Tamandua tetradactyla: one gene and its partner. The protein of the gene in region 1 interacts with the protein of each later gene in a biochemical or structural test. Links are inferred from orthologs where the notes say so. Each region holds a gene or a part of one and is shown in the gene's direction. Other genes may lie near its edges.

Region 1 (7,805 bases):
AGGTCCCACCCACAAGAGGTCTATACCCACAAGAATGGATAAAAAGTACATGGCCTTTTATGGGGTACCTAACAGCTCCAAACTGCCATAAAGGATATGTTGAAGTTCTCTGTATGGGTTTTGCCTTATTTTTGCAACTGTCCTGTAAAAGTTAAAACTATTTAAAAATGAAAAGTATAAAAAAATAATAAAGTTTAATATGCATACAAATTACCTGCAGGTCCTAATTTAGTAAATCTTGAGTAGGGCTTAAGATGCTGCATTTCTAACAAACTCCGAGATAATGTTGACATTGCTGATCTGAAGACCCACAGTTCGAGTAGTATGCTGGTTTGAAAGGATGTATGGCCCTAGAAAAGCCATGTTTTAATCCTATCCCATTTTGTAAAGGCAATCGTTTCTTCTAATTCCTATTCAGTACTGTATGTTTGAATCTGTAATTAGATCATCTCCCTGGAGATGTGACTCTATCAAGAGTGGTTGTTAAACTGGATTAGGTGGAGGCATGTCTTCACCCATTTGGTTGCGTCTTCATTAGTTTACTGGAATCCTATAAAAAAGAATGACAAGAGAGAAAGCCAGGAGATTCAGAGAGAGCAGAGAATCCTGCAGCACCACGAAGAAGAGAATCCACCAGTCAGTGCTTTTGAGATAAAGAAGGAAAATGCTTCTTGGGGAGCTTCATGAAACAGGAAGCCAGGAGAGAAAGCTAGCAGATGACACCGTGCTCGCCATGTGCCTTGCCAGCCAAGAGAGAAACCCTGACTGTGTTCGCCATGTGCCTTCTCACTTGAGAAAGAAACCCTTAACTTCATCGGCCTTCTTGAACCAAGGAATCTGTCCCTGGATGCCCTAGATTGGACATTTCTATAGACTTGTTTTATTTGGGACATTTTCTTGGCCTTAGAACTGTAAACTAGCAACTCATTAAACCCCCCTTTTTAAAAGCCATTATGTTTCTGGTATATTGCATTCTGGCAGCTAGCAAACTAGAACAAGTAGCAAGGCTTAAGAAATATGAAAGAAATAGAATTTACAGGAATTTGTGATCAGTTGGATGGCTGGGATTGGAGAGGCAAGAATACTGCATGGGTGTGGGATGGGGGAAAAGTAGAACGAATTATAAAAAGTCATGCCTAAATTTCCAACTTGATTGTTTGGGTGGAGGGGAATGGAAACCACAGACCCAGGGGGAGAAACAGGTTGGGTGGTGTGCTGGTTTGAAAGGATTTATGTATCTTAGAAAAATCATGTTTTAGTCCTAATCCTATTTTAGTGTAAAGGCAGCCTTTTCTTCTAATCCCTATTTAGTACTGTATGTTTGAAATTGTAATTACATTATTGCCACAGAGATGTGACTCAATCAAGTGTGGGTATTAAGCTTGATTAGACGGATACGTGTCTCTACCCATTCTACCTGGATCTTAATTAGTTTACTGGATTCCTATAAAAGAGGAAGCACTTTAGAAAAAGCTGGAGAATGATGAAAGAATGACATAGCCACAAGAAGCAGCAGCCAGCGACCTTTGGAGATGAAGAAGGAAAACGCCTCCTGGGGAGCTTCATGAAACAAGAGGGCTGGAGAGAAAGCCAGCAGATACTTCCATGTTCTCCCTGTGCCCTTCCACTTGAGAGAGAAACCCTGAACTTCATTGGCCTTCTTGAATCAAGGTAACTTTCACTGAATACCTTAGATCGGACATTGCTATAGATTTGCTTTAATTAGAACACCAGATTGAATCAGGATTAAAACATGACTTTTCTAATGTACATAAATCCTTTCAAATCTGCACAGCAGCTAAAGTTACCATCTATCAATCTTGTTCTGTTTTCCTTTGGCATTCATTATTTACTGCAGAGGAAGAAGCTGGGGGAAAAAATACACCCAACATTTTTTAGCTTTTTAATAAATAACTTTTTATTTTCCGCTGATGGGATACTGTTAGTGTTTGCTCTTTCCCCCCTGGGATTTAAGAATGCTTCCAGCTTGTATCTTGGAGCCTGTTTGTTAATTTTTCTGGATCTCAGTGAACCCACTTAATTTTCCACCCTGCACCTCAGATCTTTTCAGACTCAAGTTTTTTTTTTTCAATTATATTGTTGATCCTACCTTCTAATTGATTAGCTGTCCTCTTTTGGGGGACACCTCTAGTTTCCATCTCCATGCTGTTCTCCAGCTCCATTATCTTCTCTTTTAAAGAATTCCCCAATACTCCATTCTGTGTTCTTAAAGATTTTCTCAAGTTTTCCTTTGATGTGCTTTTCTGCATTGTTAAGTCTGCTTTTTGCTGCTTTGACCACTGCTTTTAATCAATAACTAAAGAGCTATTGTGGTTTTAATTTTATGGTACCCTCCCTTTTACCTTGGCTTGTTCTTTAAGATATATAATGTCTCTCTTCACCCTGGAGTAGGCAGGTAGAAAGTTGGAGTACATATGCAAGAGGGACATGCAAGAAAAGAGGGGTGAGATGTGAGGCAAGCTGCTTTATTGCTTAGTTGACTTACTTCCCTTCCTTCCTTAGTTCATTTACTTACTGCCCCTTCCTTTTTCAGGTTTTTTTCTTCGAATCCTCCCATCTCTTCAGGGCTGTGCCTGGTGGCTGATCTGGGGGGTTGGCCACCTCCAGGTGTTTTGCAGGCCAGGCCCTCCTGACCTTGGCAATGCCTTCTTTCAATCAAGAATAAGAATTAAGTGTTTTCTAAAACTGGGTCTGCATGATGGACTGAATGCATTTCAAAGGAGTAATTTTTGGCTCTGGCACTTCATTGCTTTTCTTGTGTGCCACACAGTTAGTTCCGCAGGGTTAAAAAAATTGCTTATTAGTTTTTAAAGTTGACTAGTCTAGTTGATCTTTGTTGATGTCTGATATGCAGCTGGTGGCTTTAAAGACCACATGGCTGGGCAATCCGGATGCAGCCCTTACACCCTTCCAGAGATGGTCTGGGAAGAGGTACAGGGGCACCGCCCGGTCTCACTGGCTTAGCTTTTCCTGGCACCCACCTGCCACAGGAGTCCAGTTTTTACTTTTCAACCTCTAGTGTTTATAACTATTTTTGAACCTCCGTGGAGCTGTCTCATTTTCTTTAAGTCTTGAAGCGTTGCTTTTAGTATGTCCCTCTTGACCTTTCTATTTCATTGTTTATGTCCAAGTCTCTGTCCAGCTGTACCATTCTGAGTCTTGCGTCTTTCTCTAGTGTCTTAAACCACTACTCTCTAACCCCTTATTCTGCTTTATATTTTATCATAGTACTTACCTTAATATGAGTATTGTGTATATTTATCTATATGCTTCCTCCCTCTAGAATATAATCTCTAGGAAGGTTTATACAAGAGATTACAGGTGAATATATATATGAATCTACAGATATAGAGAAGATATATATTACTTTATATATATATATAGTATATTTAATCACCATCATATATGCTTCCTCTAAAATGTAATCTCTAGGAATACATATACTATATATATAATATTTATATATAGGTAGAATATAGGGTATATATTCGAGTATAAGTATAGGTATAGATTTATCTATAGCTATATATCTTTTTTCTTTTGTATGTTGTATAGTGGGGGGTCACATTTCATTATTTTTCCATGTGAGTATCCATTATTGTAGCACCATTTGTTGAATTTTTGTTTGTTTTTTGGGAAGTGCATAGATCAAGAATCGAACCTGGGTCTCCTCCATGGCAGTGAGAATTCTACCACTGAGCTACCCTTGCACACCCTATAGTTAGAGAATATATAAGTGTGTATATATATCTATATATAGGTATATATTAGCATATATATAGGTATAGGCATATATCTATATAGAGAGAATGTATAGGTATGTATCTATAGATAGGTATATATTAGCATATATACATATACATATAAATCTATAAATCTAAAGATATATATACAGATAATATATGGGTGTGTATATATATATATATATGAGTGTATATGTAGGCATGTACATATTAGAGAAAGATATGTACCTATATATCTCTCTATATAGGTACATATATATTAGAGGTGTGTATATATATCCATGCATACACATATATATATATAAATTTATTTATTTTCTTCTCAGAGCCGACCCCCGGGAAGATGGCAGGTGCTGAACCCCTATTTGCTGAAGGGCCTGTCTGCTTAGCGCACCGTCTCGGAACCCCCGGTTTTGGTGTCAGCCCCTCAGTACGGAGAAGTGTCCCTCGGTCGCGCCCGTCCGTCGCCGTCCTTGTCCGCGCGCAGCCCACGGTCACCCTCCCGCTCCGAGGCCCGCTGCGCGCCCTCGGCTTCCCGGGGGCCGCCTCCCGGCGCCCGTGACCGCGCCCCCCGGGCAGCGCCCCAGCGGCCGCCGCAGTGCCCCGCCCCGAGCGCGCCGCTTCCGCCGGCCCGCGCACGCCCCGCCCCCGAGCCGCGGCCAGCCAATGGGCGCGCACGCCACCCCGCCCCGCCCTGGCGTCCTGCTAGGCGCGCGCCCCTCCCTCCGCCCGCCGGCCCGCCCGTCAGTCAGGGAGGGAGGCACAGAGGCGGTGGGGCCGAGCTGCAGTCAGCAACCCTCAGCGGCGTCTTTCCTCCTCCTCCTCCTCGTCCTCCTCCGCGGCCCACGGCGGTGGCCCGGCGGCGGCGCGTTTCCCACCCTTCCCCGGGAGCCGAGCGGCGGCCGCGGAGCGCCTCGAGCCCTGCGCGGCGGCGGCGGCCCGGCAGCCAACATGGCGGCGGCGGCGGCAGCGGGCGCGGGCCCCGAGATGGTCCGCGGGCAGGTGTTCGACGTGGGGCCGCGCTACACCAACCTCTCGTACATCGGCGAGGGGGCCTACGGCATGGTGTGGTGAGTGTCGACCCCACCCGCACGCCCGCCGGGCCTGGGGGGCGCCTCGATCTCCCGCGCCGCCGCGACCCCGACCCCGACCCCGGCGTGGGGGTGGGGCTGCGCTGGGGGTTGGGGCTTGCCCGCGGGGCTCCTCCCGGGCCGGGCAGCGCGCGTCGCGGCAGGGGGCGGGGGTCCGCGGACGGAACGGCAGCCCCCCTCCCCGTGTTGGCTGACCTCGGGGTCTTCATTTGGAAATCCATTTGGAAAAGCGGGAATCCCTTTAGAGGCGCGGCGGCGGCGGCGGCCTCTCTGGTGTGCAGAGCACCGAAATAGTCCCGTTTCCTACGCCGGCCTCCCCGCCTCGGTTTCCCCCGGAACGGCTCTCGTTCGGCTTCGTCGGTGGGGCGGGCGGTGCTACCCCGCGCAGGCTTTCCGAAAAGCACGAGGGACCCCCGGGTCGCTGGGGGAGTCTTTCCATGTTGGAGTTTTCGGATGTAACGTCGCGCTGTTTGCATTTTCAGGAAGGATCATCCAGCGGGGCTCCCATTGATTTATTAAAAGATCCGTTTGGAGTGGGTCCTAATTTGACTCCCCCCCCCCCCCTTTACCCTAAAGACTCTCTTTTAGCAGCACAAAAATGCCTCTGGACGTCTTGACAATTACTGTAGACTTTGTTCATGTTTTAGCGCTCAGTGCGGGCAGCCTTGGTGGAGTTCTTGCACCATCACAACATGCTCCCTTATCCCGACTCATGTTCCTCAGAAATGTGTGGAAGGAGAGGCTGACGGTGTGTGTGTGTGTGTGTGTGTGTGTGTGTATGTATGAGGACGAAGGGGCTGGTGAGGATTTGTGGAAGTGTAGATTTCCTTACACCTACATCTTCTGTGAGTATGTTTTCTCTGGAATGAAGGAAGCAAAGTAACATTGAAGAATTCTTAGCAGGTACTGTGCTAAGTCTGCATGATCTCATTTGGTTTGAACAACCAACTTCTTCTACATTGGGGCGAGGAAGGGTGGTGGTATATATACCTCCTGCAGGTGAGAAAGTGCTTGGACCTCAGATTCAGATCAAGGTCTGATTTTAAGTGCTGCAGCTCTTTCTGTTACATGCTGCTTTCCTTAAATAAGGGGTTCTTAATGATTTAAGAATGTTAGCGTGTCCCAGCAACGCATTCACATTTGAATGGACATAATTTTTAAAAAAGAGGGCGCGTTTATACTAACTTCGCTAGATGAACCAACCAGGTAAAATTATTTTTTAAAAAATTTTAATGAATCTTGAATACTGTCTTTCTCTGTAGGGGCAAAATGCTCCACAGTATACAACTGTGAAAATTAACATGCATTCACAGGTTTAGGAGCTAAAAGAGAAAATAGATCAGACCTAAAAGAGATAGGACCCTAAGAAAATAATGGACAGAAAGCATTGACTGCAGCATCACTTCTGTTGGTGCCACTGCATCTGCTGGTAAGTATGTCAATGAGCGTTTCTCTTTAGGTGAATCTCAGAATTGTCCTTCCTGTTCTTTGGTCCTTCTTTTGAAAATTAAGTTTTCTAAAATGAGAACTGAAAAAATCCTAAGACATTTCTATTGAAATTTTTTTTGTTTTTTATCTGATGAGATTTTTTACTTAGAGAAGATGATCTCTATTTATTAACCATTTCTATCACTGCTGTAGACTTCTTTGATTTTCTGAGTTTCCTGGTGAAATACTTAAAGTTTTCTTCCTGTGATTTTTTCCTTACTAAGTAAAATCCAAGCAGAAATGAATTGGATCCAGAGGCCTTTTTGTCTTAGGTTGATATTGTATTCTAATAAGAACTTAATCTTCTACAGAATGGGGTTTGAGTTGGGCCTTTAAGAATGTGTATGACTTTGATAGGGAGATAAAAGGAGCAAGTGACAGCTTGAGCTGTAGAATCTAGTCCTGGAAAAGTACTAAGGAGGCTAATTGTAGAGAACTCTTAAGGCAAAGCTGAGTTTCACTGTGTGTTTGCGTAATGGGGGGGGGTCATCGCCATTTTGTAGGAGGCTGTCATTTCATCAATTTTTATTTTTAAGATAGATAAACGCCCTTAAGAAGTGAAAGAAGAAGGAACTGGAATGGAGGGAATTAGTTGGGCTATTGTAACCTAGAGGCATAGTAATACGGTAGCAGTGGAAGGCATTGAGCAGAGGTTAGTTAGCTTGCCAAAGGGCAGATGGAAGTGTGAGGCCTGCAGAGATAGGATCAATAACTAGGGCTCTCATCATAGGAGTGGCAGAAAGAATTAATGGTGGCATGTAGGGGTAGGAACAAAAAAATGATGAGGCCACCATAAGGGGTAAGAGAGGTAGGTTCTGGATTTGAGAGGGGTTTCTGAGATAGATAGAGCTAGGGCTTGGTGATGGATTGTGTGGGCAGTTGTTAATTTCAGGGCTTCTAGCTTGTGAACTTGGAAGGATGGTGGTTCCATTATCTGAGGGAAGGAATATGGGAGGCAGAGCAAATTTAACTGGAAGAAATAGGGGGTTCTGGTGTGGACCGATGAAGTTTATAGTGCCCATGGGCCATTCAGGCTGTATCCAGATGGTATCTTGGAATTTATAAGAGGGAAGTTGGCGCTGAAAACAGAAATTCGTGTAAATGGTAGTTGAAGATTTTTCATGTGTTTGTTTTCTTAAGTTTTCAAAACTTAAAAATTATCCACCAAGCAACAACTCTCCCTCCCCCCCCCATTTCGTAATCCACTGTCTATAAGTTTTGCTATTTCTGGATATTTTGTGTAAGTGAAATCATAAGGTAGTTGCCCTCATTCATGTGCTTTGCTTTCACTCAGCATAATCTTTTCAAGGTTCATCCATGTTGTGGCGTGTCTCAGAACTTCATTCCTTTTTATGACCAAATAGTAGTTCATTGTGTGTATGTACCATATTTTGTTTATCTATTCATCTGTTTAATGATACTTGGGGTGCACTTTTGGCTTTTGCTTCAACACTGGTGTGCC
Region 2 (6,944 bases), about 60 Mb from region 1:
CATCTCTGCTCCAGAGCAGTTCCTTTAATAATAATAATAATAAAAGAAATACCTACTATGGGCCTAGGAGAAATATGTTCATGATCTTCATCCTCACAATGAAATTAGGACCAATTTGCCCATATTTCAACCGAGAAACAAATTTTCAGAAAAGTTAAATGACTGGCCTAAGGTCACACAGTTAATAAGTAGTAGAGTTGGGATTTAAGCCCAGTTTCCTCTAACACCATTAGATTGTGATATGCTCTTCATGTCAGTCCATACTCCCTTCCCATCTCAAACCCATCTCAAGCCAACAAATATGTATGGAGCATCAGCTAAAGGCCAGGTGCAGCTAGGAGCTTCCAGTTTTCATCCCCTGACCCTAAAACCCTGGCTCCATCTCTCCATCCCTGCTTCGCTTTCTCAGAAGTTCCTACCTCCAAATATCTGTGTCCCTTTCCCTGCTCACTCTCCCTCTAGCACTTCTCACTACCTCTGTTCTCCATTCCAGACCCATGGTCAGCAAGGTGCGGTGACAGGAGGGACTAGCTCTTATGAATGTGCCTGATGTGGCTGAAGGCTAGGGCTGCCCCCATCAGTGGCTTCTCAGTCATTCCTGATTCAAAGGCAAATCACCCTGAGCAGAGCTGAGCCCCCCCCCCCAGCCTCCTCTACCAGGAGGAAACATGAAGGACTCTAAAGGGACACTGCTATATAAGCAGACACCTCTGCGGGGGTGGGTAGTTTGGGCTCCTCAAAGGAGATGGATTCAAATCCATTTGCTTATTTAAGAATATTTCTTAAGGCCCCTACTAGGACCAGGCAAAGGACTGGAGATGGACAGTGATACAATGGGGAATGGGCAAATGTGGTCCAGTATACTCAGGGAGACCTTATTCCAGTACAGGAGAGGAAAAACAACAAAAGTTAAACAGATACATAAAACTATTCCTCATTGTGGCAAATACCGTGGAGAAAAGAGGAGAAAGGTTAGCGGGGGGGTCAAGAGAAGAGGTCAAGTGAGGAACTGAAAGAACATGGCGATTGTGACGGCTGAGTTCATGTGTCAGCTTGGCTAGTTTATGGTGTCCAGTTGATCCGGTCGGTTCTGTTTCCCTGGAGAAATAATACAGTGATCTTCAGGAAGATGGGAAGGAAATCAGGGGGAGCCAGGAGAGATGGAAAATGGAAGGGGCTAGGGGCCTGTTTCTCTAGGATTAGGGCAGTGGGAACCAGTTCAGGTACTGGTCCCAGCCCCTGGCACTTTCTGGCCTTAACTCATCTCCTACCCCTTCATTAGCTTAATGATTCACTCTCAACCTTTCCTTAGCTTCCTGTGTGGGAGGGAGGGGGGTGGGGCAGATCCCCAGGTCTCTGAGGGTGGCAGAAATGGGGATCAGATAGGTTGGGAAGGAATAGTGGGCAACCTAGTTCTTTGGGTATTTGTCTTTGTCTCATTCTGGTCTTGCCACAAAGAAAGGTCTCTCTGTGCCAGAAGCACGAGGAAAACTAGAACCAGCTGGAATCTGTAATCGCCCAGATTCCAGATGTGGGAGATAATGGCCAAATGAAATCCTGACATCCCCCTCTTCATTTCCCCTTTCCCTCCCCTGCCTAATGCCCTGGAGAAATTTTCCATCATAAACAAGTTATGCATTCCTGTCCTGGGTGCCTCCCCCTCTTTTCCACCAAGCAGTTTTCTTCCATCTTCACTATTTGTGCCCCAACCCCCACTCCACTGCCAGCAGCTTGTGTCTGTGAACACGTGGGTCCATCCACATGTGTAAGTCACCGTGTAAGTAGACACGTAAGTAGCCAACCCATGTTGGTCACTGTGTTGTGTGCATGTGTGTGAGTTGCTTTGGAATCAGGATGTAGGCGGGTGTGCAGCTAGCTGTGCTCTCAGTGTACATGTAAGGATGATGGCATATTTTGGTAATTGAATGGTGGCAGTAGCACAACATTGCAAGTGTAATTAACACCACTAAATTGTATCCTCTAAAGTGATTAAAATAGGAAAGGTTTTATCATGTATCTATTACCATGATAAAAATTAAAAAGAAAAAAGTATGATGGCATGTGTGAAAGGCACATGTGAGAAAGTTATGTGTCTTTGTTCGTGGAGGAGGGTATAACGTGGGTGGTGTCCTGTGTGTTTAGACAGGAGTGGCGGGTGTAAACTGAAGTGACATATAGGCCTAAGAAGCAAGAAACAGTAATAACAGATCCATTTCAAGCCTAATCATGGGGCTTTCCCTTTATTTGCATCCCCACACATCCTTGGTTGGAAAATGCCCGTCCGTGTTTTTAGTTTGGTGTCTGCCTAAGAATTGTCTCAGCTTTCTTCAAGACGTTGTCAATTTGTATGTGGGGTTTAGAGGCATGTACCCATGTTTCAAAAGCTTTTATAGTTGTGCATTTTTAGTTCTAGCACTTACAGTTCTGCATTTTCATCTTTCATTTAACAAGATTATTGAGCAACTACTATAACGCAAGGGTTTAATGGCGTGTGCAACCACACGCCTCTAGAAGAGATCTGACATATCATCATCTTACACTCGAGGCATGATATGATGGTATAAAGGCCTAAGCCCATGTACTTCAAATCCCAGAGTCATCTTTGATCCCTTTATCCTCTTGCTGCCAGCACCCCCCATACTCCCTGCCCCTTATGATATCTATCCAATTGCGAAATCCTGGTGATCTTATGCTAGAAATGTCTCTTAGAAGCCATGCCTTCTCTTGCTTCCCTCAACCAAGGACTTCAGGTCTTTGGTGCCTTCTACCTGAACCACTCCAATAGCCTCCAGGCTCCCACCTCAGGCTCTCCCCTACCAAGGACATCTCCTCATCTCAGTCAGCCCCCAGGGGAAGCTGCCCTCCTTTTACTATCATCCTCCAGCCCACAAGCTTCACTGTCTAAAGTCAAACTCAGCCTCCTGGCCTGGCAGCTAAGCTCTCCCAACTCTGCCCCACAGCTTTCCAGCCATTATTTCTTCCCACTACCCCTTTACGGGAAACTTACTTTGAGATTGTTTTTCTTGCAAATTCCCAAACACACCCTGTATTTTTCCAGCTCAAGGCCTTTGCTGACTCTATTTTCTTTCTCAGCAATTCATCCTACACATTTGTATTTGTGATACCCCACCCACTATTCAAGGTCCTCTCAAATGCAACTCTTCTCTGAAGACCCCTTGATCGATTAGAAAGAATGTGAACAGTAACTGGGGTGGGGGTGGGGGGCTTAGTCTTAAGTTTTCTTAGACCTTAGTTTTTAAGTTTAACACTTAGTCTTAAGTTTTCTTAGGACCCTTGAGAGATTGTGCCTGGTCACAGTCCCCTCCCCAGGCTGAAAGGTAAGACCCTCAAGGCTGAGGTGACAGTTTTGTCTAGCCCACCCCACTCAGCAGCACATACATGGATAACTGACCTCTGTACTCTCCACAGTACATTTAACAGGATACCTGGCACAGGTAGATACTCAGAAGGTGTCAAATTCTGTGTCCAATGAGCAACTGTGTCAAAACAGTTATGAAAATAAATGGAATCACTACCATTGCTACCATATTTGTATAATGCCTCACAGTTTAAAAAGTTCTTCACATGAATTCTGTTGTTTGATCTATACATGGGGCAAATCCATGTGACCAATGACCTCTTAGTCTTTTATTTTGTGGTTCCTCTGTAACAGTCTTTGTGTGAACATTTCTACTCACACCTAAGTGGGTAGCTGTGCCAAGTTGTCTCTTGTGCCATCTCTGCCTCTTTGCTGTGTGTGCATGTTGTGTGTATGTGAATATGTATGAATGCATTTTCATGTGTGCCAAGGCAGGCAACGGCTGTGCCTGCATGTGCTAGTGTGTTCACTTCTCTTGGTCTCCTTGACTGTTTCTGCAGTGCCTTTCCTTTTTGGGGTGTGTGTTTTCTTTACTTTTTTAACTTTTTTATTGTATAATATAACATATATATAAAGCAAAGAACGGAAAAAGCAATCGTTTTCAAAGCACTCTTCAACAAATAGTTACAGGACAAAGAGCCCAGATTTTGTCATGGGCTGCCATACCATCATTTCAGACTTTTCCCTCTAGCTGCTCCAGAACATTGGAGGCCAGAAGGAATATACATATTTTTTTATCATCTTTTTTCCTTTTTTTTTGTCAAAAATAACATATATACAAAGAAGCAATATATTTCAAAGCACAGCACAACAACTAGTTGTAGAACAGATTTCAGAGTTTGGTATGGGTTACAATTCCACAATTTTTGGTTTTTACGTCTAGCTGCTCTAAGATACTGGAGACTAAAAGAAGTATCAATATAACAATTCAGCACTCATACTCATTTGTTAAACCCTACCTTTTCTGTATAACTCCATCATCAACTTTGATCTTTCTCCCATTCTTTAGGGGTATTTGAGCTATGCCCATTCTAGCTTTTTCACACTGGGAGAGGCTGTCAATAATAGGGGATAGGGGGATGGAACTAGTTGATGTTCTGGAAGGGCTGGGTTCTCTGCATTTCAAGACTTATCAGGTCCAGGGACCCATCTGGAGGTTGTAGGCTATGGCTATTCTAACTTTGTTCATGTGGGAAGGGCTGTCAATAATAAAGGGTAGGGAGATGGAACTAGCTGATGTTTTGGAAAGGCTGGCCCGTCTAGGTTGGGGTGTGTGTTTTCTGTGTGTACCTACAAGCGTGTGAGTGTGCACGGGTATCTTTCACGCTTTAAAAGCCGGACTTTCTCCTGTAAGCCCTCCTGCCTAACCTTCCTGATGGAGCCTAAACCGGGCGTGCCTGAACCATCACCCAAGCAGGTCTTTGGGTCCATCTTTCAGGTGCTACAAGTCCCAACATGTGCACGCCGTCCCGCCCCACCCCCACTCACAGCTCACACACCTCTGTGCCTTGGATTGTACTGGTGAAGTCCCCACCCCACACCCCCACACCCCCATTTGTTTAATCGTCGGAATTTCCAGATGGCTCCTGACAAGCCGCTCCCCCGCTGCGAGAGGAGGAGTTGAGGAAGGCCCGCCCAGTTTCTCCCGCGGACTTAACTACCTCTGCCCCGCCGCGGTCCCTCACTTCGCCTTCTGCTCGCTTGGCTCGCCATGTGTCGCTCCCGCAGCACCTTTCCTACCATGACCGTCGTGCGGGCCCCGACTCCCGTCGCCACCACCAGCCCGGGACCCAGGAGGGGCTCCGGTCCCGAAATCTTTACCTTCGACCCGCTGCCGGAGCCCGCAGAGGCCCCTGCCTCGCGCCCCAGCGCCTCTCGCGGGCACCGCAAGCGCAGCCGCAGGGTTCTTTACCCTCGCGTGGTGAGTGTCGCCGAAGTGGGCAGCCGTCGTGGGGGAACAGCCATACGCCCGGGAGCCCCCTGCCCTGACCTGTCCCCTTTCTTCTCTCCCCCCAGGTTCGACGCCAGCTGCCAGTCGAGGACTCGAACCCTGCCAAAAGGCTCCTCTTCCTCCTACTCGCTATCATCTTCTGTCAGATCCTGATGGCTGAAGAGGGGGTGCCGGCGACCGTGGCACCCGAGGACGTACCCAGCCCTGTGTCCCCCGCGCCCACTCCTGCGCCCCTCGTCTTCGAGTCTCTTAATGTGACCTCGGAGCCCTCGGACTACGCTCTGGACCTCAGCACTTTTCTCCAGCAACACCCGGCCGCCTTCTAGCCGTGGACACGCTCCCCTTCCTCCCCTCAAAAACGAAACTGAAAATCCAGAGAAACGCCAAGTGTACCTGGTGCGCGAGGGCATATCCCAAACTGGGACTCGCGTGGTAAATCAAACTCAGAACACTAAAACCGAGGTGCCGGCGGATGCCTGGGGCGGGATTTCGGCACTGACACGCTTAGGTTAGGCCTGTGGGGAAGAAGACCGTCGTTAATTTATTTTTCATTGCTCCTAATTAATATTTATATGTATTTATGTACGTCCCTTTAGGTGATGGAGGGGTGTACGTAATATTTATTTTAACTTATGCAAGAGTAGAGATGTGCCCCCCCAGTGCAGATGCAGATCGCTAGGTATTTATGGAGCATTGCGGGATGGGTGGAGGGAGGGCACCTGGGACTCGGGAAGGGGAGTAGAGAGACCGGGTCCGGGAAGGCTTCCGGGCTGGGAGTCTAGGCTGGTGGTGGGTCTTAGGTTTAGGGGCTGACACTCTCCGTCTTCCAACATCTCAACTCCGTGGGGCCTACTGTGTGAGGCCCTGGCGGACCGTTTGGGGTAAGGTCCGTGGCCTTCGATCTCCCCGCAGTCGCCCCCAAGGGGTTGGCTGCGGGGTCCGGGGTCGGTGGGCTGTCAGGGGGCCGCTGCCGGGGTCGCCGTGTATGTTCTGTGAACACAAATAAACTTGATTTACTGTCAGCAGTCTTTGGCGTTTGTCTTTGCGAGCGGCAACTCCCCATTCCCTCCTAGCCTTTAGGCGCTAAGGCCCCGCCGGAGGGACTAGCGGCCAAAAGTCCCAGGCGGCGCTCCGCCCCCTCCTCCCGCCCCAGCATCCGGTCGCCGGATGCAGTAGTCGGTTGCCCAGGCTGCGGTTTTCCCAGTTAGCGCGGGACTAATCCGAGATGAGGCAACCCCCCCTTCTCCCCACAGGGGTGCCGGACGCTGCTACCCATGGAGGTCATGTCCCGAGTCCCGGGGAGGAGCCCGGGCTGGTCTTCCGGCTCGGGAAGGGAGGCGGTGTACTGCGGGGACGCTGGGAGGCCACCCGGGGCTCGCAGGGCAGCCCAAGCCGTGCGCACACCGCGGACTCGAGCGGAGCCTGCCGGGAAAGGGGCGGGCCGAGGTGGGGTTGGTCCCGGCTGCGTGGGGCGGGATCGCTTCTGCCGCAGCAGCAGGGTGCGGCCGCCTGGGGGGCGCAGGCCCAGCTTGTGGCCAGACCAGCGCGCTCACCTACCCTGCGTGGCTCTCCTGCGCCCCCGCGCGCCCCCGTCCCTCCCAGGATCCCGGCCCG

What was found. The genes of interacting proteins can lie anywhere in the genome.
Region 2: of the proteins of MAPK1 (region 1) and IER3, one has a biochemical effect on the other in vitro, tested with the Homo sapiens proteins (2 studies listed by BioGRID and IntAct). The link is inferred for Tamandua tetradactyla from reciprocal best matches to the Homo sapiens genes MAPK1 and IER3.

What each region holds. Positions count from the first base shown.
Region 1 is NC_135331.1:26,070,468-26,078,272, forward strand, and holds the start of MAPK1 (mitogen-activated protein kinase 1), read left to right. Parts: upstream 1-4,709; 5' UTR 4,710-4,715; coding exon 4,716-4,834; intron 4,835-7,805. UniProt on the Homo sapiens protein: Serine/threonine kinase which acts as an essential component of the MAP kinase signal transduction pathway. MAPK1/ERK2 and MAPK3/ERK1 are the 2 MAPKs which play an important role in the MAPK/ERK cascade.
Region 2 is NC_135331.1:85,621,241-85,628,184, reverse strand, and holds IER3 (radiation-inducible immediate-early gene IEX-1), read left to right. Parts: upstream 1-4,971; 5' UTR 4,972-5,090; coding exon 5,091-5,300; intron 5,301-5,395; coding exon 5,396-5,656; 3' UTR 5,657-6,352; downstream 6,353-6,944. UniProt on the Homo sapiens protein: May play a role in the ERK signaling pathway by inhibiting the dephosphorylation of ERK by phosphatase PP2A-PPP2R5C holoenzyme. Also acts as an ERK downstream effector mediating survival.